Drosophila melanogaster: one gene and its partners. The protein of the gene in region 1 binds, or shares a complex with, the protein of each later gene. Each region holds a gene or a part of one and is shown in the gene's direction. Other genes may lie near its edges.

Region 1 (9,158 bases):
AGCTCAGCGAGTCGCCCAGTTGATACAGCGGATATGGGGCCCGTTGTTGCTGTTGCTGCTGTTGTGGGGCGTAGATAAACTTTGGATACACGGGTATCACGTCCTCTGGCTGGTCCTCGAGCGAGTAACTGCGTCCGTAGACGGTGCCCGGCGGATGACGTAGGCGGCGGAGATTAGCTGGCCGCTGGTAGAAGAGCGGCGGCTCCTGCTGATAGATTGGCCTCATGGCAACGGGGATGCATTGCCCGCAGCACGGATCGCAGATAGTTCCTGGCCGCTAGAACGCCGAGCAGAGACTGCCGTAGCTCGGCGTCTAACGCTCAGGCGAGAGGTCTATTAATAAACCCACGATCGGGTCTAGAGAGAACCAGCAACAGAGGAGCACTCAATGTTTACACGTAGGAATGCGCCGCAGTTCCGAATGTTGCGACAGAGGCGTTCAAGAAAATAGCACCTCAGTATCAAGATATTTGAATCTTTAATTTGGAAAGGATACTTTAGCGAGTAATGGGAGAAATCGCCTCGATTTAATTCCTTAGATGTAAGAACTATATATCTTGACTATGATGTTAGTTATTGATTTGAACCGATTACTAATTTCATTATCAAAAGTAAAGTCTAGTTCGAAGTTAAGATGTATTGACATAATGGAAAATGCTAACGGAGGTATTGTGTGCTTGAACAAATGAGGTGCTAGCTACTTGGCCGCGACTGTGCCACACTATGGGCAAGCGTCGAGTTGCGATCTATAAATATTGACAACAATAGCGGAGTCACAGAGAGTCGCCGGGTCGCCGACAGGCTATATCCACATGTTCTGCACCCAAATCGGGCGAGGCGAGTGCGTCGGCCTCGGGAACACAGAGACGCAGAAGCTTGGAAAGTTGCAACTCCAAATTAGGAGTTCAATCGAGGGTTACACACACAGGCCGCGCACACTCGCGCACAAGTGAACGGTACTTTGCGACAGCTGATTAATAAACAAACAATCCGGCAATCAGCGAATCGAGGAACCACGGAAATGTATAAAACTTAGAAATCAGAAGCGTGACGCCCACACAATTAGGAAACGACGACGGGCTTCGTAGGTGCTTTTCTCGCTTTCGAAGGCCGAGCTTGAAAAGTTAGTTTTGTTTTTTTTTGGGGGTCAGCAGCTGTAGCGCTCTCACTCGCACTCACACTCACTTGCGGTGGCTATGAAGTCGGGATTTGCTATAGTAGTAATCGGTTATTACTCACATTATAAGCCGCGAAAACAGGCTGCTGATCATCTTGAGCGTCGCCTGGCTGCTCTAGGGGAAAACTGTAGGGTATTTAATTAGAGTCCACTCCGTTATCCTGGCCTCCTTTCCAACCCCAATTTTCACCTGGAATTTCCTTGACTTTTCCGTAAATTATGTGATTTGGGGTACTTTATGGGCAATATCGAAATAAAATCCACAGATTTCTGTTTAAGTCGATTTAAATTTCATTTACTTTTTGGTAACTGCGATTGAATTCGAAGGATTTCGAGATTAATTGGCTACGCAATTTTTAGCACCGTGTTGCGTCGCCTGTGGATAATTGCGAATCGCCAGCTCGACCTCTACTACATGGCTTTGTGCAATCACAGTCGAAACAGCCGATGCTTTGTGCCCTGCTTTGCAAATGCATTCGCATTGCCCGCGAACAAATCGCTTTTGTTTAATTCTCAGCAAACAAAAAGAAACGCTTGTAGGACAGAGACAGACGAACAACAACAAGGCTGCTGCGCTAGCGATGTGCTGAAATTTTCGTTCTCGCACATACTGTCCAAAACAAAATACCGTCTGAAAAAATACCAACAAAGTGCAATTGCCATATGGTCAACCGCTAAGACAAGATTGGTGAATACTTAATTCAAGCTAAGTTGGTTTCTTTTAGTTAACAAGTTCATCAGTTAGTTATAGGAGAAAACTATTTTTATATAAGATTTTATCCCATTTTCTTTTTAAAGGAACATCTATGAAATTTAAATCAGATTGTATTGTATATGTTGTTGGATTTTTTGGTGGTGAGTTTTTGTGGTGAGTTTCCTGAAAGTGACCGTACTGCAAGTGGCGCGCTTTTTGCTTGCCAACGTTTCCAACGATCTCAACTTGCAGCCACACCATCGACTCGATTGGGAAATCGACAAGCCGCAAAAAATTTGGCGAAATAGGAGCGAAAACAGACAAAAATGGCGCAGAATGCACCAGACTGCGAGGACACGCAGGTAAGCACAATTGCATAGCACTGAGATGTCAAACATTCCATTGGTTTTGGTCGCAGGACTTTCAATTCAAACTGCACCACAAGATTGTTGCGTTCAAAAAATGCGGTGAGCCCCGCAGCAATGTGAACCTGCTGGCGGTCTCCAGTAGCCGGGGATTGCTCTTTGCCGGGAGTCCAACGCAGCCGGAACTCAAAGGTAATGTAGCTTGAGTTAGCTAGGCTAAATATATAAATTTATCCTGGCACTCCTTGCAGTGATTATTGTAAAGGATTTGGTCAATGCGAAGAGCACAGCCCAACAGCCGCAGGCGCGTCTGGTGCCACTGCCCAGTATTCCGAATTACATTGCCTGCAGCTCCGATGGCAACCTGCTGGCCGTGAATCACACCCAGAACGGCACCAGCCTGCTCAGCATATATGCGGTGCTATCGTTCATGACCCCTGATGTACGTCCTGTTTATAATATTCGCCTCGCCGCCGAGGATCACGTGCACGGCGTCCAGCTCCTCTGGAATCCCGTGCTGCCCAACAGCCTGGCCGTTGTTTTGAGCAACGGAGCGCTCGCGATGTATGCCCTGAAGGAGGGGGGAAACTTTGAAATGCACTCGCTGGACAAAAATCAACAAGTTAAGTGCGGCTGCTGGTCGCCCAAGGGCAAACAGATCGTTCTTGGTTTTCCCGGCGGCACGGTGAAGCAGTTCAAGCCGGATCTGACTCTGGCCAAGACGCTTTTGTGTCCTCCGAATATACATGATGCCCCCTTTGACACCATTGCTATACAGTGGCTGTCGACTTTCCAGTTTGCAGTGATCTTTCTCCAGCATGGCGAGGACTGTAGCCCCTCGCTTTACATTCTAAATGCTCCCAAGGCTGGTGCGCCCAGCTACATAAACTACTATGACATCTGCTATAGCATGAACGGCCCGAGGAATCATCAGTTCGTATTTAGCCATGTGCCCCAGTGGAATCTGCTGCTCGTAGTCTCGGCCAATGGCGTAGAGGTGGGCATCATGCGGTCAACCGAGGCCGGCGATACACCCGCTTGGCAGCAGCTTACATTGCTGGATGAGGCACGCATTGAAATGCCCCTAAGTGAGGACAAGGATGAGACCTTCCCGCTGGGCTTTGCCTTCGACACTTCTACAACGCACCAGCTGACGATAAATGAGAAGAAGCTGCAGACTATGCCCATGGTTCATGTTTTGAGTTCGGATGGAGAATTGCTCTCGTTCAACTTTCTTAATGTGCTGCCGACGGCGGTGTCTGTTTGTTCGCCACCTCCTCCAGTGGCCGATACTTCTGGGCAGTTCAAGCCGTTGAATATGCTGCTTGCTAGTGAGGAAGAAGAGCAGCCAGCTTGGGCAGCCAGTCCCTCCAAGGCTCCAGCTGCAACTCCTGCTGCTTCCTCGGACATATCCTTTGCATTTACACCGAATACCGTTACTTCAACCCCAGCTCCCTCGAAGGATAAGCAACCATCATTGTTTTCTGGCTTTGGAGCAGCTGCAGCTAAGGCACCTGCTCCGCAACTATCTTTTGGTACTGCTCCGACTTCTAGTCCGGTTTCGTTTGGTGCTCCAACTACCAATGCAGCCAAGCCAACAACACCGTTTGGTGGGTTTGGCACGCAGGCAACGACTACTGCCATGGGAAGCATGTTTTCGGCTTCAGGAGCAAATGCCTTTGGGGGAATGGCATTGAATAAACCGGCTATTGCCAGTGTGACACCCCGAACAGCGGCACCTGGGTCAACAGTACCCGCAACTCCTGCTTCTGCTCCAGCAAACAAACCACTGTACACGGTTCCTTTAACATTCACACCAGTGGACACAAAACCAGCCACTTCAGCTCCTCCACAAATCGCAGATGAAAGTCTTAAGCCTGATGACACTGAGCCTATTATCAAGGACATGATTGCCCTACAAATCGAAGCCTTTAGCAAGGATATCCAAAAGCAAAAGGAACAGACGAAGGAACTCCTCAAAGGCGTAAGTAGTGTTGGTATTACACTGCTTCATGTATTAAAGTTGTTATTCCGCAGATTGCAGCACCATCTGCTTTGAGGGCATACGCAAAGAGACTGGATGACCTCCAAGAGCTCAATGAACAAGCCAAGGATGTGGAGTTCGAGTTAGATGTACAGGGATTGCGACAGGGTCTTAATGAGGCCTATGCCATCGTAGCAGAGTGCCGCGGGAAACTGGAGATTTATAGAAAACCAGAGTGGGTAAAGGACTCTTTGAATATATAAGCTATTTAAAACCCGTAATTTTCGTTTAGGATTACGCGTTTAATGAACTCAAGCTCCTGTGATCCCTCTGGCCGTCGCATGCTAGCTCGTCTTCAGAGCTACGTGGCTGCCAATGAGGCCCAGCTGCGTCTTGCCCAGCAGCATGTCGATTTGCAGTGGGAACAGTTTCAGGATGTTGTGCGGCGCAATTCGAAGTCTCGCATGCACATGCCTTGCCTAGAGGGAATCTATCAACGACTGACAAGACTACAAAATCTAACTTCTAACCAGCGAATTGTACAGAACAACATCAAGTCCAAACTGAAGGAGCGCGGATTGCTTCAGGCCGCACTGCTCGACCAGGAGAAAAGTCGCACCCGCACCAACGAAGCGTTAGTAGAAGTTATTGTGACCTCTCTCTTTATGCGACTATAACTTTTTTATTTAGAGTGGATACATTGACCGACTCCATTCTCACGATGAGTCTTAGCCAGGTAGTGGACTCTAATGCAGCCAAGCTCACTCGAGAAAGACTACAAAAAATCCGTAATATTGTTCAGCTGCAGAAGATCAATGTTATTTGTCCCCAGCGACCAGATCGAGTGGGGCTCAAGTCGGAGGTTATTTTGGAAACGAAACGTAGGGCGGAGCAAATTAAAAGGGCAGCAGCCAAGCCTGCAACAGCCAACAAATACACCCAAGCAGCAGTCGCTCCGCCTTCACCACCAGATGTTGCACCCACGCCAGCTGTTGCACCCATGCCACAAGCAACTGTTACAGTGGCTCCTCCGCTGCCTAAACCAATGCCATCTATACCGTCCGTTGTGGAAAAGCCTGGAGTGCCCACACATCCGACAACTCCAGTGGCTACGCCATTTTCCTTCAGCCAAAGCATCCCATTTGTGAAGACATCTACTGTGACGCCAACGACAAATACTGTGACTCCTGGCGAAGCAGCCAAGCCGGGTTTATCCATTTTCGGCGGCAGTACTATTTCCAGCTTTAGTTTTGGTGGTGGTGCTGCCAAGTCGGCACTCTCATTCGGAACAGGATCGCCAGCCGTGGCAGCTCCTACACCAAAACCAAACCCGTTGTCAGCGGTCGAAAAACCAACACCCGAGCCGACTAAGCCCAAAGAGCAGAAAGCAGCAGAAAGCAAAGAATTCAAGGCGGTACAACCCGAAACAGAAGAGTCAAAAGTACCCCAAAAACCAAAGGCAGAGACGGAAAACAAATCCTTTGGATTTGGAGGATTTACAGGAACTGGAGGTACTGTCGGAAATACTTCCAGCTCCCCGTTCAGCTTTGGCGGACTGGGTTCATCTCTAGGCTTCGGAGGAACAGCCGCTGCTGTGCCAAAATCTGAACCTTCCAGCACAGCAACCACTAGTGTAGCCACATCAGCTTCAACTGCACCATTTGGCATCTTCTCAGCAGCTTTGGCGAAACCATCCAACTCTGAACCGATCACCACGGTCACTAGCAACACAACCACCATCACCAGCAAGCCTACGAATGTAATTGCTTCGAGCAGCGTAACTGATGCTCCTTCCGTCACCACAACAAATGCAGTGACCAGCAGCACGGATCCTATTGGAGGCCTCTTTAGCTCTGTGACTATCTGCAAGCCCAACACTCCTGCAGGTAAGCTATAGTTTCCTTTATCAATATACCTTACGCATAAATGTATACGCTTATTTGGCATAAACTCTAAACGGCTATATATGTCTTTTACTTTGCAGATACCACCAAACCAGCCAACATTTTTGGAGGAGGTTTATCCGCTGGTAGCTTTTCATTTGGCGGAACGATTGATGCCTCAAAGGGATTATTCGGCAGTACCAAACCAGTGGCAACAGCTCCCACAAGTGTGACGGAGGCGAACAACAAAACTGATCCTATTTCAACCACCCCATCAGCCATTTCGACTACTACTGCTACGACGACTGTGTCTAGTCCAGCAGTAGTTCCTGCGGCAGTTACCGCAGCAGTTCCGGCAACATCGAGCACAACGGTAACATCTAGCACTGCTGTTCCCGGCAGTGCGTTCTCCTTCTCAAACGCATTTAGCACCCTAAGTGCGGGAGGTGCTGCAGCTCCAACTACCAGCGCTTCAGCTCCCTTAGCTGCCAAAAGCCCAACCGCTACATCTACAGGCAATAACTCGTCGAATTCAGTGTTTGGTGGTGGCTTCGCAGTAGCAACATCAACAGCGGCTCCAGTGGCTAGTCCCTTTCAGTCAGCTGCAAAAAGTCCAGTTTCGAGTGCAAACATTTTTGGCAGTATACCTAAGGCGGAGACCAGCGTTTTCGGAGGAGCTACAACTGCTCCTTCAAACACCACGGCTGCGGCAACACCAGATGCACCACCAGCGGGTCTCTTTGCATCGGCCGCGATTAGTAACCCTTCGCCGTTTGGTAGTCCCACGACTAGAGCACCAGCCTCTGGCGGTAACATTTTTGGTCAGGCTGTTAAGCCAAGTGTCTTTGGACAACCAGCACAAGCAGGCGATAGCGGAGGATCTATTTTTGGTGGCGGATCCGCCAGTACACCTTTTGGATCCAGCTCAATTTTTGGAGGAGGTAATACGCAGGGCGCAGTCGGCGCTCCGGCTGCAGGAAGTACTTCAATTTTTGGCCAAAAAGTGTTTGGTCAATCATCAGCGGCTGCACCGGCAGCAGGTGGGAATATATTCTCCAATCCCGTCGGCAGTCCGCAAGCTTCTCCTTTTGGTGGCGGAGGAAACTCTATTTTCGGATCACCAGCAACAGCTCCGCCCGCATCTGGCGGATCGATCTTTGGGGGTGGCAGCAGCTCTGGTGGATTTGGCTCCTTCACGCAGACGACACCAGCTCAGGGGGGCTTCGGTGGTGGATTTGGCCAGGGCGGGGGTGGATCTGTGGCCCAGACAGGTTTTGGCTCACCACAAGCCCCGCAGCAGCAAACTACGACACCAGGTGGGTTTGGAGCCAAGCCCGTTTTCGGTGGATCCCCGGCCTTTGGAGCTAGCCCCACTTTTGGGGGAGGTGCCACCTTTGGCAGTCCGAAGGGTTTCGGTGGATTTGGCGGTGCCAGCCCAGTAGCCTCCCCTCCACCCTTTGGTGCTGCTGCAAAGCCGGCACAGGGAAACATTTTTGAAACGTTGGGGGGACAGGAATCGGGACTCTCTTTCGGAAATCTAGCACAGACTGGAAACTCAAATGCACAGAAACCAGCGTTTGGCGGGTAAGTTCGACCGACATACATACATATGCATACTTATATAAGTATTTCCAAGAATGCATACGACTAACGAAATATTAAATTTTACTATTTCAGATCGAGCTTTATGAATTATCGTTGAGTTCATAATAAATGTGTTGCATAACTCAATAGTTTTGCTTGTTCAGTTTTCATGAAATAAGAATACCAGTTAAAATTAAAAATCTTAAATCTTAAATCTTTATTAAAATTAAAAAAAAAAAAACTGTGTTTTTACTTCACGCGAAATGTGTGTACTGAACTTTATTTAGTATTTATAGTCTAGTATGATAAGGGTTTCTTTTTTTATGAAATACTTGCTATGGTATTATGCTCATGCTAAGGTTATCACCTATTTCATTCGAACATCTCATGAGATGCAGACACGTCTGGCTTGGATTCCCGTCATTTTTTGGTTCCTCAAAGATGTGGGTGCTTCAATCTTCTTGGACCAGATCTGTGGAATCAATATCGCACTCAAAATCACCGGCGGGCATAATGCAGCATTTCAAAATTCTGTCTGGATGGCAGCTGTACACAATCGGACACATTTTATCTGCGGTGGCACGCTGATTCATAAGCGTTTGTATATTTCAACGGAACGAGATTAATTAATAATACAAATATTGCTTTCTTAGGATTCGTTTTGACAGCTGCGCATTGCATAGTTGACCAAGACGTCCAGTGAGTATAATTTGATTTACTTTGAAGTGAAGATGATTCTCATTCCGATATTAACAGATCAGTGAGTTTGGGTGCCTACAACAAGAGTGATCCTGCAGATCGGAAAGACGTCATAACAGCAGTAGTGCATAGTTCGTTTGACGTTCGTGCTTCCTATGAAAATGACATTGGCCTGCTAAAGCTGTCCAGCGACGTTATCTTTAATGGCAAGTGATTGATTTGTTCGTCCCCCCAGAAAGTGTTACAAACCATACCTTACTATTTCCAGCCCTTATTCGTCCAATCTGCATCGTTTTGAACAAGAGTATGGCCAACCATATGCGCAACATGCGGACCTTTAAAGCCTTTGGATGGGGAACATTACGCGGCAACAAGACATCCGATATACTTCAGACAATCATCCTTAATCATTTGGATCGTGAAGAGTGCTATATGGAATTGTCTGTTTATCCCAGTGAGAAGCAGATATGCGCTGGTGTACCTTCCGGAGACACCTGTGGGGGCGATTCTGGTGGTCCCCTGACAAACGATGTGTTTATTCAAGGTATCGGCAATCGGGAAGTTCAGTTCGGGATCATCAGCGTTGGCAAAACATCCTGCGATGGACAGGGAGTGTATACCGATTTGATGAGCTTTGCGGACTGGATTAAGATGACAATAGAGAGGTTATCTATCGAGGATGAACCACAGTCTGCACCCTTCTACAAAATTATACCCCAGCAGCAAGATGTTTTTTTGTACAACGACTGTGGCGGCGCCAACATTGCTGCGA
Region 2 (9,153 bases), on another chromosome or scaffold:
GTATGCACCAGATCTTTTATATGCGAGTGACTACCGCTATGCAGGAGGCCGAGGACTTAACTTTAACTCGCTCACTCACTCGCACTTCAACGGAATTCAATTCAGCTGAGTGCCACCCACAAGCACAGGCACACATCGATAAACGATAACTCGAATGGGGCCCATAAAGTGATAAAGCGATTACTCAATGGCTATTGCCTTCGAGAAACTACAATATTTCGAAAATAATACGCAAAATGGATGAGCTGCCAAGCAAATCTTTTGGCTTAAAAAATTTTTACAAAATGTGGGGCAACCGGCTGTTTGCTTAGAATTTGAAAATTGAAGCAAACAAAAGGTATGCAAACAGAATGGAAAACAGCGATAAGACAAGAATACATCAAACTGCTATTGATAAGGAGTTTCTTTTGAATTTCGTATATGCTGTAAGTCGTTTTCGCATTACAAAGGCCAAATTCGCTACTCAATGCCAACGACTAACTTATCTGCCGCCCCATATTCCAAATATTATCGCGCTTAATTACATTATACCACCAACCACCGCTCACCACCCACTACCCCCGTCCACCTGGCCACGCCCCAATGGTACTATCAGATACTCGTACTCGCAGCGATTTCGACAGCTAGTAAACGCGCAAACACAAAAAAGGGCAGAGGCAGAGGCAAACGTGTGTAAATAACAAGTGCAAACACACCGGCAAGCTCCATTCGAGTGTTAACGAACGAGATTCCCAGTTCCACTCGATCTACCTGGGACTAGAGGTACCTGTACTTTATGTACCTGTCGTATCTATTGATCAGCGGTGAAAAGGTCAACAAAACGAGATCCATAAAAAATTCACACGCATTCGAAGCGGGTCGCGATTAGATATTTCATGGTCACTGCCATTGAATTGGGATTTGTCTCACAGTGTACACAGAAAATAAACATTTCTACTGTCAGCTTGATGCAGCTTGCCTTGGGTTTACAAAGACCAGGTTTCAAATCCCACACCCGTAAATACGTAAAAGTTGTAGTACTAATGTTGTAGTACTTCAGATTTAAGTTTATGTAAAATTACATTAATTGTATAAAATTTCTTTATGTGTACCAGGCCTTTTTTCTGGCAGTGTGTTGCAGTTGCACGTGAGAGACAGAGACAGTATGAAAAGCGAGAGAGACAATAGAAAACAGGTTTTAGTTTCAAGAGCAAATCTCAGAATTTTATGCTAGTGTTGACTGAGCAGGATGAAATGAAATGAAAAACGAAACAACACAGTGAGAGCGGGAAAGGGAGGATCAACAGCAGCCGAGTGAGCGTGTGCAAGCGAGAAGGTGCAACAAGTTTTACCGTAGCAACGCAGCAGGAGGCACACACATGCGGTGAAATAAGAGAGAGAGTTAGAGAGAGAGGTGGGGGTGGAGATGAGGTGTGCTCTGGAAAAGAGCGCCCAACAGTTCATAAAGTTTTCCTTTATTGTTGTTTACAAAGCACTTTGTTTAAACATTCCTGCCTAGCCATATTCTACCTAATTTATCGGCTTAATAGCCGCATTGCCAACTTACCAATGCCGAATTCTGCCTGCTTGGCATTGCAGTCGCTCCACACACTCATCTTGAAGGCTTTTCTTCTCGTTGTTGTTGCTTCTACTAGTGTTGTTGCTGATATTGTTGTTTTTGCGCCGACTTTTACCACCAACACGGCGACAAACGATCGCTACTCACACATGCAAAGCGATGGACTTTCGTTTGCGAAAATAAAAACAACAAGACATTAAATTAGGCAACGGCAAAAGAGCAACACGTAGTTGAAATTTTGATTTCGTTTTCACAATGCCGCCAACACAAGCATTTCGCCTCCGATTTCGCTACAGATTTCGACGAAAAGCACACCGGTTGGACAATTGCAACCAATAAATAATTATTGCACAAAAGCTAGCATTCCGCACAAATTGTCGCTCCGCAAATGCATTTTGCGCCGTTTTTCGCTCGTTTTGTTCTCGACTTGTATTTGGGCTGGGAGTTGGCCGCTGCCGCTCAGCTAATTATCACATGTACACGCACTCGATCGCACACACACTCGTGTGTGACAGTTGCCAATTAATTAAATAACCGCTCTCGGAAAACAACCCGCGCGTTTCAACTGTTTGTTGTGAATGAGCGTGCTCGATGCCCAGAAGTACCGTACTGTTCCCAATCGAAAATATCAAATATAGAGTGCCCCTTACAGCGTGTTCACACCGTTGATGTCAAATGGGTTTTCACTTTGTTCGCAGTACGGTCACATAAAAATGTGAAAATCGAGCTTACCTACAAAATACGAGAAACCCAAGTTATAAAATACATTTTCCACACATTCATAGTAAATTTGCTTCGGAGGCACCAAGCAAAAATTTTATTAAGACCATAAATAAGTTATGGTCAATAGTTATGCGCCTGGCAGTTGTATCCTGCTTTTTTACAGTGTATTTTTGCATGCGATTTCACGCCTTGGTCACACTTTTGGCTGCATTTTCTTCAACATCGTGAAAAAATCGGCGCGCCATTTCTGTCCACTTTTTGCGTCAGACTCGGTCGACTCCTGCTGACTTGACAAATTCGCGAGTGTTTATTTGTTTTAAGCTAAGCCTGTCCGGTCCCACAACCTTCGCATCCGGCGCAGCCGCCCCAGCTTGCCCAACGTGGTGAAATCGAAGCATTGCTCATCGCGATAGTTGGCATTCCGGCGAAGGACAAAGCAGGGGATCTACCTAGTATATGTTTGTTATCTGAGCAGCAGCAGCGAGCAAAATGTTTGGCGGCGCGAAACCCAGCTTCGGAGCCACTCCGGCGGCCACCAGCTTTGGCGGATTCAGCGGCACCACAACAACCACTCCGTTTGGCCAGTCGGCATTTGGCAAACCCGCCGCACCGGCCTTTGGAAACACCTCCACCTTTGCCGCCCAACCCGCGCAGCAGTCACTGTTCGGTGCGGCAGCCACACCAGCTCAGCCCGCCGGAGGCTTATTCGGGGCAAACACGTCCACGGGATTTGGAAGCACTGCCACAGCTCAGCCCACGGCTTTTGGAGGTTAGACACGATCATTTGAAGTGGTATCATGTTACTAATTTAGTAATTTCTTCTTTGCAGCCTTCTCGCAGCCGCAACAGACCTCGAACATATTTGGATCCACCCAGACGGCGGCAAGCACCTCCCTCTTTGGACAATCGACGCTACCCGCCTTTGGAGCCGCCAAGCCGACTATGACGGCCTTTGGGCAAACAGCTGCTGCTCAGCCCACGGGCTCTTTGTTTGGCCAACCGGCTGCCGCCACCAGTACAACAGGATTCGGAGGCTTTGGGACGTCGGCGCCTACAACCACCAATGTTTTTGGCAGTGGCACCGCCTCCGCCTTTGCCCAACCTCAGGCTACGGCCGTGGGAGCTTCCGGAGTCAATACGGGCACGGCCGTGGCCAAGTACCAGCCAACCATTGGTACAGATACCCTGATGAAGAGCGGTCAGGCAAATAGTGTGAACACTAAGCAGCACTGCATCACGGCTATGAAGGAGTTCGAGGGCAAATCTCTGGAGGAGCTCCGCCTGGAAGACTATATGTGCGGGCGCAAGGGTCCACAGGCTGGGAATGCTCCGGGAGCTTTTGGATTTGGAGCTCAGGTTACTCAGCCCGCTCAGCCTGCAAGTGGTGGCCTGTTTGGAAGCACTGCCCAACCAAGCACAGGTCTGTTTGGCCAAACTGTGACCGAGAATAAGAGCATGTTTGGCACCACCGCTTTTGGCCAACAACCGGCGACTAACAATGCATTCGGAGCAGCAACCCAGCAAAACAACTTTCTGCAAAAGCCCTTTGGAGCCACCACCACCACTCCGTTTGCCGCTCCCGCAGCTGACGCTTCAAATCCATTTGGGGCGAAGCCTGCTTTTGGACAGGGAGGAAGCCTCTTTGGTCAGGCACCTGCTACCAGTGCGGCTCCTGCTTTCGGACAGACTAACACAGGATTCGGAGGCTTTGGAACCACAGCCGGAGCAACGCAACAGTCAACTCTTTTTGGTGCCACACCAGCCGCCGATCCAAATAAATCAGCCTTTGGGTTGGGAACGGCTGCATCAGCAGCCACGACAGGTTTTGGATTTGGAGCTCCAGCAACAAGCACCGCCGGCGGAGGCCTTTTCGGAAACAAGCCCGCCACTAGCTTTGCTGCTCCAACTTTCGGCGCAACCTCCACGGCTAGCACTCCGTTTTCAAATTTTGGCCTGAACACCAGTACAGCAGCAACGGGAGGAGGCCTTTTTAACTCGGGATTGAACAAGCCAGCAACGTCCGGATTCGGAGGTTTTGGAGCCACCAGCGCAGCACCACTTAATTTCAACGCAGGCAACACGGGCGGATCACTTTTCGGAAATACAGCCAAGCCGGGAGGAGGTCTTTTTGGAGGAGGTACTACAACCTTGGGTGGCACGGGTGCTGCCCCAACGGGAGGACTGTTTGGAGGAGGAACTACCAGTTTCGGAGGTGTCGGTGGTTCCTTGGGCGGAGGAGGCTTCGGTATGGGTACAAACAACTCGTTAACTGGTGGTATTATGGGAGCTCAGCCCACACTGGGTATCATGACGCCTTCACACCAGCCCATTCATCAGCAGATCCTAGCTAGGGTAACTTCTCCCTACGGAGACTCTCCGATTTTCAAGGATCTAAAGCTAAGCAGTGAAGCAGATGCAACAAGAGCTACAAATCCTGCTGCCCAACAAGCAGTTCTGGACCTGACCAGCAACCAGTACAAGATAAGTACCAGCAACAATCCTGCTCCAATGAAGGTAAAGGCGCTGGGCAGCACACTTAATAGAAAATCGCTGTTTGATGGTCTCGAGGAGTTTGATGCTTCTGTAGAGGGCTTCAATCTGAAGCCCAGTGCTAAACGATTAGTTATCAAACCCAAAGTAAAAAGTGTAGAGGGTGGAAATCCCTCTAGCTCTATTGGCAGTGCTCCCAACACGCCCCAATCTCGACCCAAAGGCGCAACTCCCAACAAAGAACGCGAGTCGTTTAGCGGAGCCATTCCAAGTGAGCCGCTACCACCAGCTGGAAACTCGCCTGGAGCAACGAATGGACGGGAAAGTCAGGATAACGGCCGCCGTGAGTCATGGCTGCATCCTAACAACCTTGAGAAGGTACGCCAGCACAACATTCAGACTGGAATGGATCAGGGATCGCCCCATAACAGCACCCTCAACGAGCTTGTGCCACGTAAACCTTTAGATACATACCGACCATCCTCCACCGTTCGCCTCTCGGTGTCAACCATCCCAGAGAATCCATTTGAGGATCAATCCAGCACCATTGCACGTCGCGAAACCTTCACTTCGCAGCAGGCCAATGAGAGTGTGCTTTCGAACAGATCTAATGAGGCAGAGGACTCTGCAGCAAACCAATCCCGCCTAGCCATTGAGGCAGCTGCTGCAGAGGCAGCAGACGACGAATCACATCCAACAGGCATTGTGCTGCGACGCGTGGGTTACTATACAATTCCATCGCTAGACGACCTACGCTCCTATCTGGCCGAGGACGGATCCTGTGTGGTTCCGAACTTTACGGTGGGTCGGGAAGGATACGGCAATGTCTTCTTCGGCAAGGAAATGGATGTGGCTGGCCTGAACCTCGATGAGATTGGTAAGAGTCTTGTGTTTTTTTATAACCGTTTGTGTTTGCTCTCATACATTTATTTAATGCAAAACAATTTGTATCACAGTCCACTTTCGCAACAAGGAGATTATCATTTATCCCGACGACGAAAACAAGCCGCCCATTGGTCAAGGTCTAAACCGTGACGCCCAGGTCACTTTGGACCAAGTATGGCCGTTGGACAAGACCAAGCACGAAGCCATCAAGGACCCACAACGCTTGCTTGAGATGGACTGGGAGGGCAAGTTGCGCCGGGTGTGCGATAAAAACGATACGCGCTTTATAGAATACCGCCCGGAAACGGGTAGTTGGGTCTTCCGCGTCAAGCACTTTTCTAAATATGGCCTGGGAGACAGCGACGAAGAGGACGAGTTGCCCACTGACCCGAAAAAAGCCAAAATTGCAACGCTTGAGGCTCAGCAGCGGGCAAACGCAGAAAAGATGACGCTCAATTCGCTGCGCCAAGCGCAGAAGATTTCAGAAGATGCAGCCCGTAACTTGGACCCAAAAGCCTTGGTCGCAGGTGTTGCCAGCGGATTCAGGCCAATGGATGATACCGCCGAGTTCCTTTTAATGGACAAAACACGTACGTCTAAAGTCCATTTTAAAAGGTTTAGTTTCATTAATTGTAATTTACTTAATTTTAATTCGCAGAATTTTTCCAAGCTGGTGGCAACTCCGATTTCTCCATGTTTGATCCACCGCGTCAACGTCCAACGATTACCAGTCCCACAGCTGTTTTGGCTCAGGAAATGGTAGGCAACGAGGCGCACAAAATGCAGCTAATGAAGTCATCCTTCTTTGTGGAGGACAATGCTCCCGAGGACGAACCCATGGGTAGGTGGATAATCTCTTGATGGTCTTTCAAATTGCTTACAGTAAAAGATATGTAGATGTTTAAATGTTAATCGTTAGTTTTGAGCAAATATGTATTGTTAATTATCAACGATATTTAATGATTTTTGATCGTTGCAAAAAGTATTATATATATATATTTATGTTTAAAAAGGTAGCACAAATTATAAAGTTAATAAAGCTTTCAAATGTGTTAGTAAATCCAATTCATTTTGCCTGCTTTGGCAACAATTCATTATAATTACAACAATTCACTGCTTATCATCCCACACGGCCACTATACATTTGAAAATTACTCATAAATTTCTACAGAGACTACGGGGCGTCTTCTTCGTCATCGCAAGTTTTTCAACGTGGAACCTCTTGTTTGGAAAGATGGTGCCTCCGAGAGTTCCAGTCAGTACGATTTTGAACACCCATCGCCCGCTCTGCCGATTTCTTCCTCCGTCTCTGAGGCCAGCCTGATGTGTGATGCACATTATGAGGAGGTATATCGACGTAACCTTTTACTTTGAAGCCCAATAAACATCCTGATCAATTTCAGACATCGTCGATGGCAACTGGAAGCATTGTTGCAGCTGTAAAAGAAACGAAGTTTGAAATGCCTGTCACTAAAGCCTTCAAGTTTGTCTGTAAGCCCAAAGTGGCTCCGATTAAGTTGCGTGCCACCACGGTTCCCCTACCCAGGTCCATCGCTTATGAGATGCGCGATAATTGGATCGCCGATTTGGGATTCTACAAAGGACGCAGCTTTAAGCTCAGTTTTGGTCCACAAAACTCATTGGTACTGCCAAGCACCTATAATAACATGCAAAACCTAAAAGAATGTAAGAATATCTGAAACAAGCTGTAGCAGTCCAATTATAATAATTTCCCTTTGCTTCAGTTACTGGACCATCCCTGCCCGTCTCCATGGTATTTGCGCCGCGCTCGGCCACCGATTTGTCGCCCAGTGTAATGCAGTTGGTGGAGTTTAACATGGTCAAAGGCAACGAGGGTTTTCGAGAAAGTATCATTCCCCATCTCGAAGTTCAGCTTAACGACTGCCTCTCAGTTAATGTGGAGGGTAGTGAGTGCCCGTGTATACATCCCGATAGCGGTACGAAACTAGTTTCCAAGCACTTCTCCGAGTCTCTTAAGCAGAGAAATGCTGGCTTAAAAGAGGACTATAGCGTGTCAGTGTGGTCGCTTTTATTCGCACTATGGGGCGATCACGATGAACTGGTGGACCTGGAAAAGAACTCTCATTACATGGTCATGTGTCGGCGCAATCTGCTATCCGAGTGGCTTGAGAACACGCTGCTGGGCAAAGATCTACTCTCGAAAAAAGTTAGCACCCACAGCTACCTGGAGCACATGTTGGATTTACTTAGCTGCCATCGCGTAAATGAGGCTTGTGAGCTGGCCTTCAGCTACGATGATGCTAATCTGGCTCTTGTGCTGTCCCAATTAAGTTCCGGAGCTGTCTTCCGGCTATTAATGGAGGAGCAGCTCTTTGCCTGGCAGCAGAGCAAGTCGGATAAGTATATCGATCTGGAGCGCCTTAAGATGTACATGCTGGCCGCCGGAGCGCCAATGATGCAGTCTTCACATGGGGCCATCAACTTACTCGAGAATAAAAACTGGCTGACAGCACTGGCCCTGCAGCTATGGTATTTCACAGCCCCAACATCGTCTATCACCGATGCACTCAATGCTTATAACGACGCCTTCCAAGCGGAAGAGTGCTATGCGGAGCCCCCAAAGCCCAGCTACAGGGACGCACCTACTGACACCAAGAAGCCCGTCTACGATTTGCGCTACCACTTGCTCCAGTTACACTCTAAACGTATGCATTCCCTGGAAGAAACTCTCAATCCTATAACGCATACCGCCGATGCCATGGACTTTCGTTTGAGGTGAGCTAAAAGAATTTTTTGGTACAGTGCAAAATAAATCATATCAAATCATTTTAGCTGGCTGCTCTTGCAAACTCTGCGAGCTCTTGGCTACCGTCACTGTTCGCCCTTAACGGAGGCTCGTCTTTCGGTGGATTTCGCTAGCCAGTTGGAGAACGAAGGCCTCTGGCAGTGGGGTATCTTTGTTCTTTTGCATATTAAGCAGCAGACCCAGAGGGAACGTGCAGTTCAGCAAATGCTACAGAGGAATGTCAGCGTTTCCGCCAAGGTGGCTCTATATGCGGAAGAGCGCTTTATCGTCGAAGAGCTTGGTATTCCGATGTCGTGGGTGGACTATGCGAAGGCGGTAAAGGCGGGAGCGTCAGGAAAGCATCACCTTCAAGCCAAATATCTGCTAAAGGCAAAACATTTTGCTACGGCGCACGATGTCATCTTCCAACACATTGCTCCTGATGCCATCATAAACGGTTGGTTCCTTATGATAAGAATTATTTCGGTGGATTACTAACAATTGTCATTGCAAACTTGCAGGTAAAATGAAATACCTGCATAGCCTGCTCATTCAATTCGAGGATACAGAGGGCAGCAGCATCCGAGTGCCCAACTGGGCCAACCAGGGCCAGATCTTCCTGGACTTTATCGACATCAGTGCCAAGTTCAAACAGATCCGCAGTGTGACCAACATCGCTGACATCAATGCGCGCTGGGAGAACTTAAAACCACAACTAAGCGAACTCTGC
Region 3 (6,220 bases), on another chromosome or scaffold:
TTCGTGTTAACAATAACTATTATCGTCTTCGATCTGCGATAATAAGTATGTATTTTTGACTGCTGCAATGCACTTTTTATTTTGCACACACATATATGCACTTGATTAAATTGGGCGATCGTTTCTTTAACTTATTTTTTTCTCGAATTTTTCGGATTTTTTCCTATTACTATTTTGTATGCAGCTACTTTTTTTTAACGCTATGCTCGTCTGCCTGCAGCAGCTTTTTGTTGTTCTTGTTGCTGTTGTTGTTACGACCGCATCATCATCATCGTCGTCGCTTTCCAGCTATCGCCATCCTTGTTGCTCCTTTCGCGTGCACAGTGCGCTTGTTGTTGCTGTATTGTTGGTTGTTAGGCAGCTGCAACAAAAGTTGGTCTAGGGCGGCATGGGTGCGAGCGAGATGGCTGCGTGCCTGGAAAAAGGATCGGGATCGCTTTCCAGTATGTACTTGTAGTCGCTCTCGCGCGCTCTCCCTCTCTGTCGCTCTCTGGAAACTGGAACTCTCTTTTGCTATTTACTTAGCATATTTCACCGTAAGGCATCGTTGTTATTGTTTGTTTTGTTGTGTTTGTGTGATTCATACACGCGCGCATTAAAAAAAACGAGTTACAACAACGGCAACCATAATAACAAGAACAACAAACAGCGGGCCAAGATCATTTATTTACTTCTTTTTTTAACGTTCTTCGCTCTCGCTCGCAAACTTGGCATTTGTTTTGGTCAAATTATTATATATTATGCGCTGTAGATTGCATGGTTTTAAATTTACGGTTCGATCATCGTTTTTATATCTTTTCTGTTACTCTCTTTTAACGTTGCTTTTGTCGTGTTTTTCGTTTTCGGTTATCTCCTTTTTCGCCCGTTGGCGTCGCTTCTTTCTTGTTGTTTATCACTTTCAACTATTCATATTTCGATTGCAAGTGGAATAGTATCGTTGACCGCCACTCTTATTAACGAACTATTTGAACTCAAAAAAATGCAAAAAAAATCCACGAGCAGCGCGTTGATTACTGCGCTTCGAGTTCGAATTCGCCCTGGCGAGCAACAACAAATGACCAAAATTCTGGGGATGGCAGGCTCATCGATACTATCGGAACAGCAGCTTGGCTTCTTCGCGGTATTTGGTTATACTTTACTGGGCGGTCACACTACTGCTCGTTATCTCCCGCTTATTTTAAAATCAGGGATTGGGCTAAATGCCATCTAATTCTGCAATAAGTTTTATTGAATTTGCATTGCTTTATATAAGTCAGCCTATTAAATAGAGATATTGATTAAGAGGTAATTAATCGTCTTAAAATATTAAAGTGTAAAGATGAAAATATTTCTTATGTAAGCTATGTATAAATATAAAATACTAGGAACAACCAATTTCGATAGGATTAATTGTATAGTCCTAAGAACGACAGATAGTGTTATCAAGATCGAGGAGTTTGAATCGAGAGCTTAAAAGAGAATAAAAAGAACTTAAAAAGATTGCTACACCTATATATATATTCATATATATATAAGATAATATAAGAAGATGTTCGATTTCATTCAACAGTTTAAGGAACGCCCCAAGCATTTCCTAATTTCCTAAGAATATATGTTTACCAACTCCTGTTAACATTTTATTTATTAGGCAAATACATTCATCTCGAATGTAAAACATTAAAATTTTCAATTAAACCTGAACGATATTGTGTGGGTGGGATAGCCATTGCGGTATTTTTTTCGCGCCATTTTCAGATTTGCGTTATCGATTACCGGCAATCGCTTGACGGCAATATTGTAACAACAAAGCACACATTCGCTCTCATTCAGCTAAAAAAGAAACTAAAAACCTTAAACTATATTCGATCGATGGCAGAACCCCGTCCCGGCGGCTACAACTACAAGACATTATTGTGAGTAAAAGTTCGTTCATCAAAGGCAGAGCGATGTCAACTATAGTTCCATACGAATCCCCAGATGCAGAAACATTCCGGAGCTATTTTTGGACAAATATGTGGCGCGTTCGCACTTTGGACGTTTTGGAACCCTCGTAAACTTCGTCCTGCGTCCGCGGCGAATGACCTGCACCGTAAGCTATGCCAGCGAGGACGAGGCGGCGCGGGCGCTTCTCGATGGCGCCAGCTTTCAGGGTCACCTGTTTGATATATCCTATGCTGATAACGAGACGGCGCCGGCACAGAAAACGGAGGAGTGGGTGGATCCTGACATTCAGGCGGAGTTGAGTGCACTGCAGTCGGGCTGGCGCAATGAGTATGGGTCGGGCAAGCCGATAAAAAAACCACAAAATGGCAGCAGTGGTAGCGGTGGCAGTTCAATGCTGCCTGCCATACCAGTTGGGCCCGCAACGGCGCCGGTGAGCAGAGATCGTACGCCTGCCCAGCTCAGGGATCTTGAGAACATGATGCGCAGACCCGCCCATACAAGCGAGGAGAAGTTCAGCGTGCTGGATGCCCGCGATAAGCTGCTCCGGTTGAACCGAACGCAACACAAGCTGTCCGGTGCCACCCAGGGTCACTGCGCCGATATGTGTCCGGAAAAGGAGCGCGTGCTGAGAGAATTCCAGCGCCAGGTAGCCTACTATGAACTACAACCGGGCTCCGATGAGCTAATCTGTCACGAAAGAGCCCTGAAGCAGTACTCGCGCAGCAGTGCCGACCAGGAGACGCCACTGCCGCATGAACTGCGCAATGAGACTGCCCTGCACATGACCATGAGCTATCTAATGCATGAGATCATGGACATTAGCGAGCGCCAGGATCCGCAAAGCCATATGGGCGATTGGTTCCACTTCGTTTGGGATCGCACGAGGTCCATCCGAAAGGAGATCACCCAGCAGGAGCTATGCTCTCTGGGCGCTGTGAAGCTGGTGGAGCAGTGCGCCCGGTTTCACATTCATTGCGCCGCCCGTCTGGTTGACGCCGATCCCAGCGTCTTTGACAGCAAGATCAACGCCGAGAATCTAACCAAATGCCTGCAGACTCTGAAGTACATGTACCATGACCTGCGGATTAAGGGCGTTCCATGTCCCAAAGAGGCGGAATTCCGGGGCTACATTGTGTTGCTCAATCTGGCCGATGCCAACTTTCTCTGGGACATCGGTCAGCTGCCCGCGGAACTGCAGAGTTGTCCCGAAGTGCGTCAAGCCATTCAGTTCTACTTGGCCCTGCAGGACACGAATTTTGTGCGGTTCTTTCAGCTGCTGGCTGACAAGGATACCAGCTACCTGAGTGCCTGCATCCTAGTCAATTACTTTACGCGACTGCGCGTGCTGGGGTTGCATCGTCTGATCCAGGCGTATAGGTCTCCGCGGAAGGATGAGGTGTCTTCGCTGCCTCTCAGCTACATCGCCGAGCTGCTGAGCTTTGCCAGCGAACAGGAGGCGGCGGATTTTGTCCAACACTATGGCCTGCAGATCAACGAGGCGGGCAGAGTTGTGCTAAGCAGAATGCACACGGTGGAGACGGAGTACAAGCTGCCGCGACAGTATGAGGTAAGTAAATGGTTTTCTTTTTTTTGTTTTATTAATTTGATTTTTATTATCCACTTCCAGTTGGTGGAAGTGAAACGCGTGAAGAGCGTGGGCGAAGTCGTCAGTGGGGAACCTTTACCACCACGAGACCTCTACCTCAATCACCGACCGCACAATAGCTTCGACGATTATGGAATGCTTAAGAGCATTGCATGGACGGCCAAGGATCAGCTGGCTGGCATGCAGCAAGAGGAGATGCAGCCACAAATGCCTTCGCAGCCACCAGCAGTCTCAAAACATAGCGATACTTTGTTTAAGGTGCCCATGCAACCCGACGGAACGGCAGCAGGGTTTGGAGTATTTGCTGCGGCTGCTGTTCCGCCAGCCTCCTCCATCGATGGATTCAGTTTTGTTCTTCCCAAATCACGTGCTCAGGAGTTCCAGGAACAAGCTCCGGCTACACAGCAGCGACGGGCACAAGAAGAGGCCAAGCATCAGGCCCTCCAAGTAGCCATTGCCGCTGCAAAGAAGCGGGAAGCTGAGCTAATGGCTATTCACGAGGCCAAAGTGGCCGAGGCTGAGCGAGTGCGTCAGCAGAAACTCAGGGAACGCCAGGAGCAGCAGCGTCGCCAGCAGCAGGAACTGGAGGAACAACGCCAGCGGGAGCAGGAGAAACTTCAGCTGGAAAAAGAGAGGCAACTGAAACTGGAACAGTTGTTTTTTGTGCAGCAGCAGGAAAGGGAGGCCCACAAACAGACCAGGACTTTGGAGTTGTATCAGGAAATATTCCAGGACACCCTCGCGGAGATTTGCCAAAGCGAGTTTATGTCGCATAGTCGGGCTTGCCGTTCCTACGAATCCATGCTGGACTCAATAACACGCGATCTCGTCGAGCGGCAGATGGAGCAATCCATCTACGAACTAGGCGTCATGAGGGTGTGCATCAGACGATGGCGGAAATATCGGCGAACGCAACAGGAGAAGGACACGCTATTTAACCAACTGCCTTTAAGTTTTGGAGCCGAAAACCCCGAAGGAGTGGTGAACAAACGAAGCATGGAAGATTCACTGCGTCTAAGCAGACGCTATCGACTTGGCGAGCCCTGCGATTATGGCAAACTTCTGGCTGGCCTGGAGGAGCATAGTTGGCTGAAACTGGATCTGTGGCACGTTTTGGACAAGTGTCTGCCGGTAGCGCAACCAGGAGCTAGACGCTTCTACAAGCTATTGATAAGCCTGTCCGGCGGCCAGGAGGGTCTCCAGTTGAACTGCGATTTGGATAGGGGACTACTGCAGCAGCCACAGTCGCCGGATGCTCGTTTTGTGGATGGAGGCTACATCAGAGGCTTCTCTCAGGGTATTGGCTTGAGTGTGATGAAGATCCGAGATGATGACCACGACTGGAAAGCCACCGACCTGGCCGAAGCCAATGGTATTATTTGCTTAATCGGGCTGGATGACATTCGTTTACTGCCGGATCGCTTGAAACCATTGCTGCAAGCAAGCCGCTGTCATGATGTGGCTGTAATTGTTCAGCATCCAGCTAATACCGCCTTTGTTCAACCTGATATTCCTCTCCAGGAACTATGTCTGCGCTCATTTAACATCTTTCGTTTGCGAAAATCTGGAAACAACCGCCAGCGCTTAATGATTGCACTGGAATCGGCTGTAAAGTTTTTGGCCAAAGCCACGGAAAGGAAACGTGTTGGACATCTTCACCAAGTGGAGACCCGCGAGTATTTGCTCGTTAATCTGGGATCGGAACTATTTCGCCGCCTAAAATACGCCGCTGAGCACGATACGGCCATTAGAAGCGACACTCAGCTGAATCCACAGCGTTGTGTGGACCTTTTTAACGAGGCAGTGCACCGCCTGCAATTGGTAGCCGGCGAGGATTTAAGCGACTGGCCCCAGTTTCCCGAGGAGCTGCGTGTCTTTGTGCAGCCACTGCCCATCGAATCATCACTAAACACCAATCGCTTGGAGCACTTTGAACCCGGTTGGCACTTGCCCGAGCGACGTCAGCGTATTGTCCAGCTTTTGGAGCGCTGTAAACTTCCAAAGATGCCGGTACTGCCGAGGTCTTCATCCCTGGCCGAAGCCCAATGCCAGTGGGTGTTGGACTACGCGCAGATAAGTCAGCAGGAAGACTGCGTGGAACAGATCGCCCTCCAGGCCATTAAAATTCTGCAATACGACACGGATGACTACTTGAACTTTGTGGAATATCTCGCTGGCGAACGAATGCAATACATACTGCGGCAAGAGAGGAATCCGCCCCAAGGAATTGTGTACAATACGAAAACGCTGAAGAGACGCTTCCTGAGCGCATGGTACTATGAGTTTCGTGAGCCTCAGATTTACGAGCCCGTTCCCGCCGAAGAGAATGCCCAGATGCTGGAGAAGCAGCCATCATCACAAGCGGAGGTGCAACAACTGGATTTCGACGAGATTACGAGCAAGGCTGAGGCTGTTCTGAAGAGGTTTCACCAGCGTCAGGATGAGCGTCACACCCTGCGCGAGCTCAACAGGTCACATAAGTCGAGGAAGAGGAGAGACGCATCGGACCACAAACATGCCAGTAAGCACAAGCGCAAGCGGTCCAAATCCAAGTAGTCACGTTCTGCTGTAGTTATTCTCTTATTTGTATCATATAAATGTTAAGTGTAGTTTTAATATATGTGGTTAAGCATTATATTGTCAATTGTAACATGAGACAACGCTAGATCTTAAACTGCATCTAGATTAGGT
Region 4 (6,574 bases), on another chromosome or scaffold:
GTACGCCTGCTGGCTGTACGACTTGCCGCATATGGGACACGGGTAGGGCTTCTCGCCCGCATGGATCTTCATGTGAACACTCAGACTGGAGGCCTGTGTGAAGCACTTGTCGCATAGCTTGCACTGGAACGGCTTTTCGCCGGTATGGATGCGCATGTGGATGTTCAGGCTACCCGACTGCGTGAACGAGCGGTCGCACAGCGAGCAGGTGAATGGCTTCTCGCCCATGTGGTTCTTCATGTGCTGTACCAGCTCCGAGCTGGCGCGGAAGGCCTCGCGGCAGATGGCGCACTGGTACACCAGCTCCTGCGTATGCATGCGCATGTGCTCGTCGAGCAGCGCCTCCGCCTTGAATTCGCGCTCGCACTCCGGACAGATGAACGTCTCCGTGGGCGCGATGTGCGTCTTCTGGTGCAGCAGCAGCGAGCTGTAGTTGATGAATCCCTTGTCGCACTGCACACACTGATGCGGCTTGCGCACCGAATGCGAGCGCATGTGCACCATCAGGCTGCTGGACTGCGTGAAGGCCTTCGGGCAGAGCTCGCACTTGTACGGCTTCTCGCCGCTGTGGATGCGGATGTGCGTGTTCAGGCTGCCGATGTGCGTGAATGTCTTCTGGCAGATGGAGCACTGGAACGGCTTGTTGGTGATGTGCGAGCGCACGTGCTTGGACAGATCGCCGGCGTTGGGAAAGCTCGCCTCGCAGTGCGTGCACTGGAAGCATTTCTGGTTGCCATTCAACGCTGGATCCATCACGGGTGCACCGATGTTGCTCCGCCTTCCGCGCCGCCGCTTGATGGGCGTCGATTGCAGGCCCAATCCCGGGCTAACAGTGGGTGCCGGTGGTAGTAGCTGCTGCAAGGGCGTGACGCTTACGGTCGGCTGCACCATGAATATGGAGGTGGACTCCCGCGGATCTGTCATCTGCAGCTGGAACTCATTGTAGCCCGGACCGGCAACCAGGCCGTGAAGTGGCTGCACTGACTCCTGGCTCTGCTGGGTATTGGAGTTGCTGGTGGTCGGCACCGAGCTGCTTGATGAGCTCGAGTTGCTGGAACTCGAACTGGAGCTGCTGCTGTCGTCGTCGTCATCGTCATCGTCGTCGTCCGACGACGAGGAGCTGTCGGAGCCCGAGGAGGCGCTCCCATCCGACGAGTCGCTGCCATCCTCCGCCAGCTCGCACACCGGCTCGAATATCCAGCTGTAGTCCTCGCTCTCGTCGCCCGGGCTCTCCTGCTCTTGCTGTCCATTGCCCGGCTCATGGGGGTGCAGGGTGTTCATGTGCTGGTACAGCGCCAGCGGATGGACGAAGAACTCCGCACAGCACATGCAGTGGAAGGTGAGATCCGGCGGCTGTGGCTGCTGCGGTTGCTGCTGGGGTGGATTGGGTGCCTGTTGCGGCAGGAGGTGCGTCTGCTGCAGGATTGGCGTGATCGTCAGGGGCAGGTGGTGGTAGCTCTGTTTCAGCTGCACGGCCATCTTGCCAAAAGGCTGTGCAAATCAAACAACAAAAATCACAAGGAACACAAGCGACGAGCGTGTGAACATTTTCTCTATAATAAAAATGCGCGTTTGCGGGGAGAAAAATCAATGCCGTACCTTGGGTGAGATTAGATGCGAAGTGCCGTGGATCAGGGGTTCCGTAGACTACTATTATATCACTGGTGTGTGCTGTTGCTCAGGTTCCGTGCTTTTGTGTTTCTCTCAGGGCTCTCGTCCACATTCGTCCACTGCGTTCCATTTTATGCGCCGCCAGCGAAATGCGAATAACTTGCTTCCTGTTTTCGGTGCTCGCTTGTTTTTGAATTTGGCTGCTCGGTTCCGTGGGTCGCCGGAATCGCGTACCGTCCTCCGACCCGTTGTCTGGTTAGCTGCGACTGCCAGGAGCTGCGACTCGAGCGAATGCAGCGCATCGCCCAATCGCAATTCTGCAGAGCCAAAATCGCAATTGCAAGCGTCTTCGCCGTGCGTACAACAAATAAAAGAAAAATGTTTTATGTTGGGCGGCCCTTGCACGATTGGACGGCAGCATATCGTCATGCAAGCGTTTCGTGCACGTCGCCAGCATGATGACCGATAAACCGCGCAGCTTCAAATTCAAACCGCAATCGATTGTTACATCTTTCGAAGGTTTTAAACATTTAATAATATTTAATTTAATTTCGAGTGCCTAAATCTAAGCAAGTTTTATTATTAGTGTTTAATTTCACTTAACAAGTTGCTAAAATTATTGAATTGAGCCCTAACATCTTAAATAATATTAATATTAAATATAAACTGCTCATCTCGTTCCCCTTGGATTTTCTTTCTTGCCAAACTACAGGCTAGTCAGACTAACAAGTTGGAAAATCCAGAAAGCAAGCAACGTGGATCGTTCCTTTTCAAGTAAATACGAAAAAGGCTACCAAAATGGAAATGGATTACTATCTGCCAGTGTATAACGGATCAAATTCGGTGGACGTGCCGGGGCTGATTGAAAGTCTCAAGCTGAAGGAAACCAGTATATCGCCAATCGTGCTGGATCGCTATCCGCCGTACTCCCCGTTCTATGGCGTGATGGGCGTCGTATTCTCCAGTGTGCTGACCTCCGCTGGAGCGGCCTACGGAACTGCTGTTTCCGGAACTGGAATCGCCGCCACAGCGGTGATGCGTCCCGAGCTGGTGATGAAGTCCATCATTCCGGTGGTCATGGCGGGCATCATTGCCATATACGGTCTGGTGGTATCCGTGCTCCTATCTGGGGAACTAGCGCCTGCTCCCAAATACTCGCTGCCCACCGGCTATGTACACCTGGCCGCTGGACTTTCGGTGGGATTTGCTGGACTGGCTGCCGGATATGCAGTGGGTGAAGTCGGCGAAGTGGGCGTGCGGCACATTGCCCTGCAGCCACGCCTCTTTATCGGCATGATCCTGATCCTTATTTTCGCCGAGGTGCTCGGTCTCTACGGCCTGATCATTGGGATTTATTTGTACACGGTCAACATTAAGTAGCAGAATTTGTTATATCTAAAATATTTAATTCGTTAAGAAACGTTTTTATCGATCTTTAATATTTGAAATGCCTTTTGAATTTCTTTACGCGATTGTGGTACTCATTTCAGGTACGCCGTTGCGGTACGCGATGGAGGTACCCCATACTAATGATTCTACGGAATGCTGGTACCTTATTCTTTAGCAGCTTTGCCGAATTACTAGATATGTAAACAATTTAAATCAATTTGTTTCTTACGAAATTTGCTTGAATTCAGTGAGAATCGCTTATTTACAAGTGTATGTGCAAGGGAGCTTTCTTGCTGTTCCGTCATCTGGTAACACTGAACGCTCCCGGCATTTTTAGCGAATAGCGCGTGAATTTCTGTTTTGATTAAATTAATTGAATTGATGTGCCGTAGCTGATAGCCAAGAAACGCATAGTGCAGCCATGGCCGACAGCCCGTTCCCGAGGAGCAGCCGCAGTGGCCTGCTACGCACGACGCTGAACAGCTCGATGCCGCCGCAAAATCTCTCCCACTCGCTGCTCATCCTCGAGAAGAGCAACGCGGAGCAGAATGAGCTCTCGCTGATGGAGGACACCGGCGATGATCTGGATCGGGGCAAGAGCCGCATGGACGTGCTCTTCCCGCAGTTCTTCGACGTGCTGCAGGCTCAGGGTAACGGGCAGGAGGCATTCGAGGTGATCCAATCGCTGACGCAAGTCTGTCGCGGCGTGGTGGAGCAGCTGGAGCTGGAGATCGATCACGGCATGGGTGGGGAACAGGGCGCGCGGCAACGCGAGTCTATGCTCACCTGGCTGCGACAGGAGATAAACACGTGGCGCCTGCTGCACGCCCTCTTCTACGACCGCATCCTGCTGCAGACGGACAGGCAGGCGGATGATGAGATGCAAGATGGCCCCACGCTCGGCGGCAGCGAGAAGGAGGTCATACAGCAGTTGTACGCCCTCAATGCGACGCTGCGTGAGTACCAGCTGGTGGTGGACTGGCTGGAGGCGTGCTACGACCGGGGGGAGCAACAAAACCCACTCCACGCCCACGATCGTATGATGGCGTGGGAGAACACGCTCTTCCAACTGGAGAACCTGCAGGGCGCCGCCTTTGGCAAGGGCCATAAGATCGTAACGCGTCTGGATCCAGATGCTCCCGTACGCGAGAAACGACCGTTGCACGCCCTCGACGAGGAGGACAACCTGCGCCTGTCCCGCGCCATTTTCGAATTGATACGAGCGGGACGCGTCGACGATGGCCTCAAGTTGTGCAAGCACTTCGGACAGACGTGGCGGGCGGCGATCCTTGAGGGCTGGCGTCTCCACGAGGATCCCAACTTCGAGCAGAATGTCTCGGTGCTGCACGAAAAGCTGCCCATCGAGGGCAATCCCAGGAGGGATATCTGGAAGCGCTGCGCGTGGATGCTGGCCGATTCCAAGAACTATGACGAGTACAGCCGCGCGACGGCGGGTGTCTTCTCCGGCCACTTGGGCTCGCTGAAAACCCTTTTGCACAGCAACTGGCACGATTTGCTCTGGGCCCATCTGAAGGTGCAGATCGACATCCGTGTGGAATCGGAGATACGCGGCTGCTGCCTCAAAAACTACCAACCGATGCCCGATGATTACTGGAACGGCAGGATGACGATGGAGCAGATCTTCGAGGAACTGAACGTTGCCAAGGATGCGTCGGTGCGGGATTTCGCCCAAAGTCAACTGGGCATTATCCAGCGTCATTTAATCCTGGATACTTGCGGCGAGCTGATCCAACACATGGTGCGCTGGGTGGAGAAGGATACCTCCCAACAATCGCCCCATCAATTGCGCTTTATGGCCCACATAGTGCTCTTCCTGCGTCAAATCGGCCGTGTGGAGCAGGAGCGACAGGCGGAGAAGATCGTAGCCGCATATGTGGAGGCATTGATTGCCAGGGGCGAACCGCAGCTAATAGCCTACTATACTGCATCGCTTTCGAATCCGCTGCAGGTTCAGCTCTACTCGCGGTTTCTGGAGCAAGTGGAGCAGAAGCGTCCGCGGGAGCTAGCTGTGGATGCCGCCCTGCAGGCGGGCTTGGATGTGGAACAGATCACACGCGTCACCGTGCAGAATATTCGCCTCGCACATCAGCCACTCGGGGAATTCGGTGAGCCGCAGTCCGGCGAGATCTCTGCAATCGATCAGCGCAAGATCTCAGCATTGGAGTGGCTAATCCATTTGCCGGAGCAGCGCGGTGAGTTGCTGTGGCAGGCCAACGCCATGATACGCACCTATCTGGCCAGCAGCAAGGTGGAGTGCATGCGCCAGACCTTCCGCATGGTGCCGGCCGACATAGTGCAGCAACTAGTCAGCTTGTACGGCTCGGTGGACAACATACCACCGCGTGAGGAGTGCTGCCTGAAGGAGTATCTCTGCTACAAGGCGTATCTGTCTGGCGTCGACAGTTTCGTCGAATGGAACCGCCTGCAGCAGAACAGGCCCAAGAAGCCACAGACTTCACACGCAGCTTCCTCGCAGGACAACTTCACGGAGCGCATGGCGAGTGAGCGCAAGGAGCAGGCTCACCGATCGGAAGTCGTGCGCTGGGAGCACAAGGTTAAGGAGCAGGCCAAGCGTAAGTGGATCGCATACCCATTAATGAGATCTTTTGGCATATAACCCGCATTCTTTCCCTGCAGAAACCATCGAACTCCTGTACAATGTGCTCATGTTCCCGGACAAGGGTTGGCTGGTGGATCCGTTCATCGCCAAGCTGCCCGAGAACGCCGTGCAGCTGAGCTGGGATCATCGCCTACTGCAGATGGAGAAATTGCGCTCCATCTGCATTCCTGAGATCGCCCTGTTTCTGAACGAAGTGATGTTCAAGTCGGGAGACTTTGCGGGTTGCGTGCGCCTGGCAGATGAAATATCCAGCGAGAATCGGCAGTTGTACAAAGTCTATACGAAGCACAAGCTGGCAGAGCTTCTGGCCAAGATCGCGGACGCCTCCCTGGAGCTGCTCAACTCGAAACTGGATCCATGGGGCTATCCTATAACAACTTAGCAATCCTAGTACATTTGTGTGTTTTGCGATTACATTCTAACTTTAAACGTTTATTATTTATTCACTGTTCAATTATACAACTAAGGAGGGGGACAAATGGGAGGTAGGTAGGATGGAGGGCTTAGGAGTTGTTGTCCACGGCGGCGGCGGAGGCGTTGTTCTCGTCGCACCCGTTGCTATGCTTTAGTAGGTAGGAGGCCAGGAACTGTATGGGATCCGTGGGCCGTTCGCGAGCCAGGGCCTGCATTCCGTGGAGCAGAACCGGCGCCACCGTCTGGTCGAGGTACTGTCGCGTGGGCATGTTGTTTGTCTCGCTACTGGGCTTCTTGGCCACCGCCGGCTGCTGTTGCTGCTGCGCCACTGGATTTGTGGACTGGCCAACGGCAATGGCTCCGGATGGAGGAGCTCCCGGCGCAGCGGTCGGGTTTGCTTGCGCATTGCTGCTTGCATTTGGCTCCTTGCCAGCTTCTGCCGGCGGATTTGTTGTGGGCGCTGGTGAGATGGGTGCGTCGGTCTTGGCCTCCATGGCAATGTGTTCCTTTTGTTCAGCA

The links.
Region 2: Nup214 (region 1) and Nup98-96 share a complex: the UniProt entries of both Drosophila melanogaster proteins name them as parts of the nuclear pore complex.
Region 3: Nup214 (region 1) and xmas share a complex: the UniProt entries of both Drosophila melanogaster proteins name them as parts of the nuclear pore complex.
Region 4: Nup214 (region 1) and Nup107 share a complex: the UniProt entries of both Drosophila melanogaster proteins name them as parts of the nuclear pore complex.

Annotation. Positions count from the first base shown.
Region 1 is NT_033778.4:22,917,694-22,926,851, reverse strand, and holds Nup214 (nucleoporin 214kD), read left to right. Parts: upstream 1-2,109; 5' UTR 2,110-2,197; coding exon 2,198-2,233; intron 2,234-2,289; coding exon 2,290-2,428; intron 2,429-2,487; coding exon 2,488-4,220; intron 4,221-4,273; coding exon 4,274-4,455; intron 4,456-4,512; coding exon 4,513-4,854; intron 4,855-4,910; coding exon 4,911-6,106; intron 6,107-6,204; coding exon 6,205-7,687; intron 7,688-7,780; coding exon 7,781-7,805; 3' UTR 7,806-7,915; downstream 7,916-9,158. Other genes in the region: ReepA (receptor expression enhancing protein A), read right to left, coding at 1-226; CG30187 (uncharacterized protein), read left to right, coding at 8,080-8,284, 8,341-8,386, 8,444-8,592, 8,655-9,158. UniProt on the Drosophila melanogaster protein: Part of the nuclear pore complex. Serves as a docking site in the receptor-mediated import of substrates across the nuclear pore complex including emb, RanGAP and phosphorylated Mad. Protects mbo/Nup88 from proteasomal degradation at the nuclear pore.
Region 2 is NT_033777.3:23,774,782-23,783,934, reverse strand, and holds the start of Nup98-96 (nucleoporin 98-96kD), read left to right. Parts: upstream 1-2,313; 5' UTR 2,314-2,770; coding exon 2,771-3,050; intron 3,051-3,110; coding exon 3,111-5,648; intron 5,649-5,727; coding exon 5,728-6,246; intron 6,247-6,314; coding exon 6,315-6,497; coding exon of another isoform or gene 6,498-6,517; exon of another isoform or gene 6,518-6,719; intron 6,720-6,827; coding exon 6,828-7,003; intron 7,004-7,059; coding exon 7,060-7,342; intron 7,343-7,401; coding exon 7,402-8,413; intron 8,414-8,470; coding exon 8,471-8,880; intron 8,881-8,944; coding exon 8,945-9,153. Other genes in the region: mbc (myoblast city), read right to left, coding at 1,547-1,595. UniProt on the Drosophila melanogaster protein: Part of the nuclear pore complex (NPC). Required for MAD import as part of the Nup107-160 complex and required for nuclear export of Moe probably via its association with Rae1. Plays a role in nuclear mRNA export.
Region 3 is NC_004354.4:17,154,843-17,161,062, reverse strand, and holds the start of xmas (xmas), read left to right. Parts: upstream 1-1,756; 5' UTR 1,757-1,848; coding exon 1,849-1,892; intron 1,893-1,956; coding exon 1,957-3,490; intron 3,491-3,550; coding exon 3,551-6,050; coding exon of another isoform or gene 6,051-6,085; exon of another isoform or gene 6,086-6,220. UniProt on the Drosophila melanogaster protein: Involved in mRNA export and mRNA coupled transcription activation.
Region 4 is NT_033779.5:10,732,793-10,739,366, reverse strand, and holds Nup107 (nucleoporin 107kD), read left to right. Parts: upstream 1-3,295; 5' UTR 3,296-3,421; coding exon 3,422-5,594; intron 5,595-5,658; coding exon 5,659-6,023; 3' UTR 6,024-6,074; downstream 6,075-6,574. Other genes in the region: CG12299 (uncharacterized protein), read right to left, coding at 1-1,479; Vha16-5 (vacuolar H[+] ATPase 16kD subunit 5), read left to right, coding at 2,410-2,991; Dpy-30L1 (Dpy-30-like 1), read right to left, coding at 6,145-6,549. UniProt on the Drosophila melanogaster protein: Plays a role in nuclear pore complex (NPC) assembly and maintenance. Required for nuclear import of Mad. Mediates the association between the nuclear pore complex and a subset of active chromatin regions adjacent to lamin-associated domains.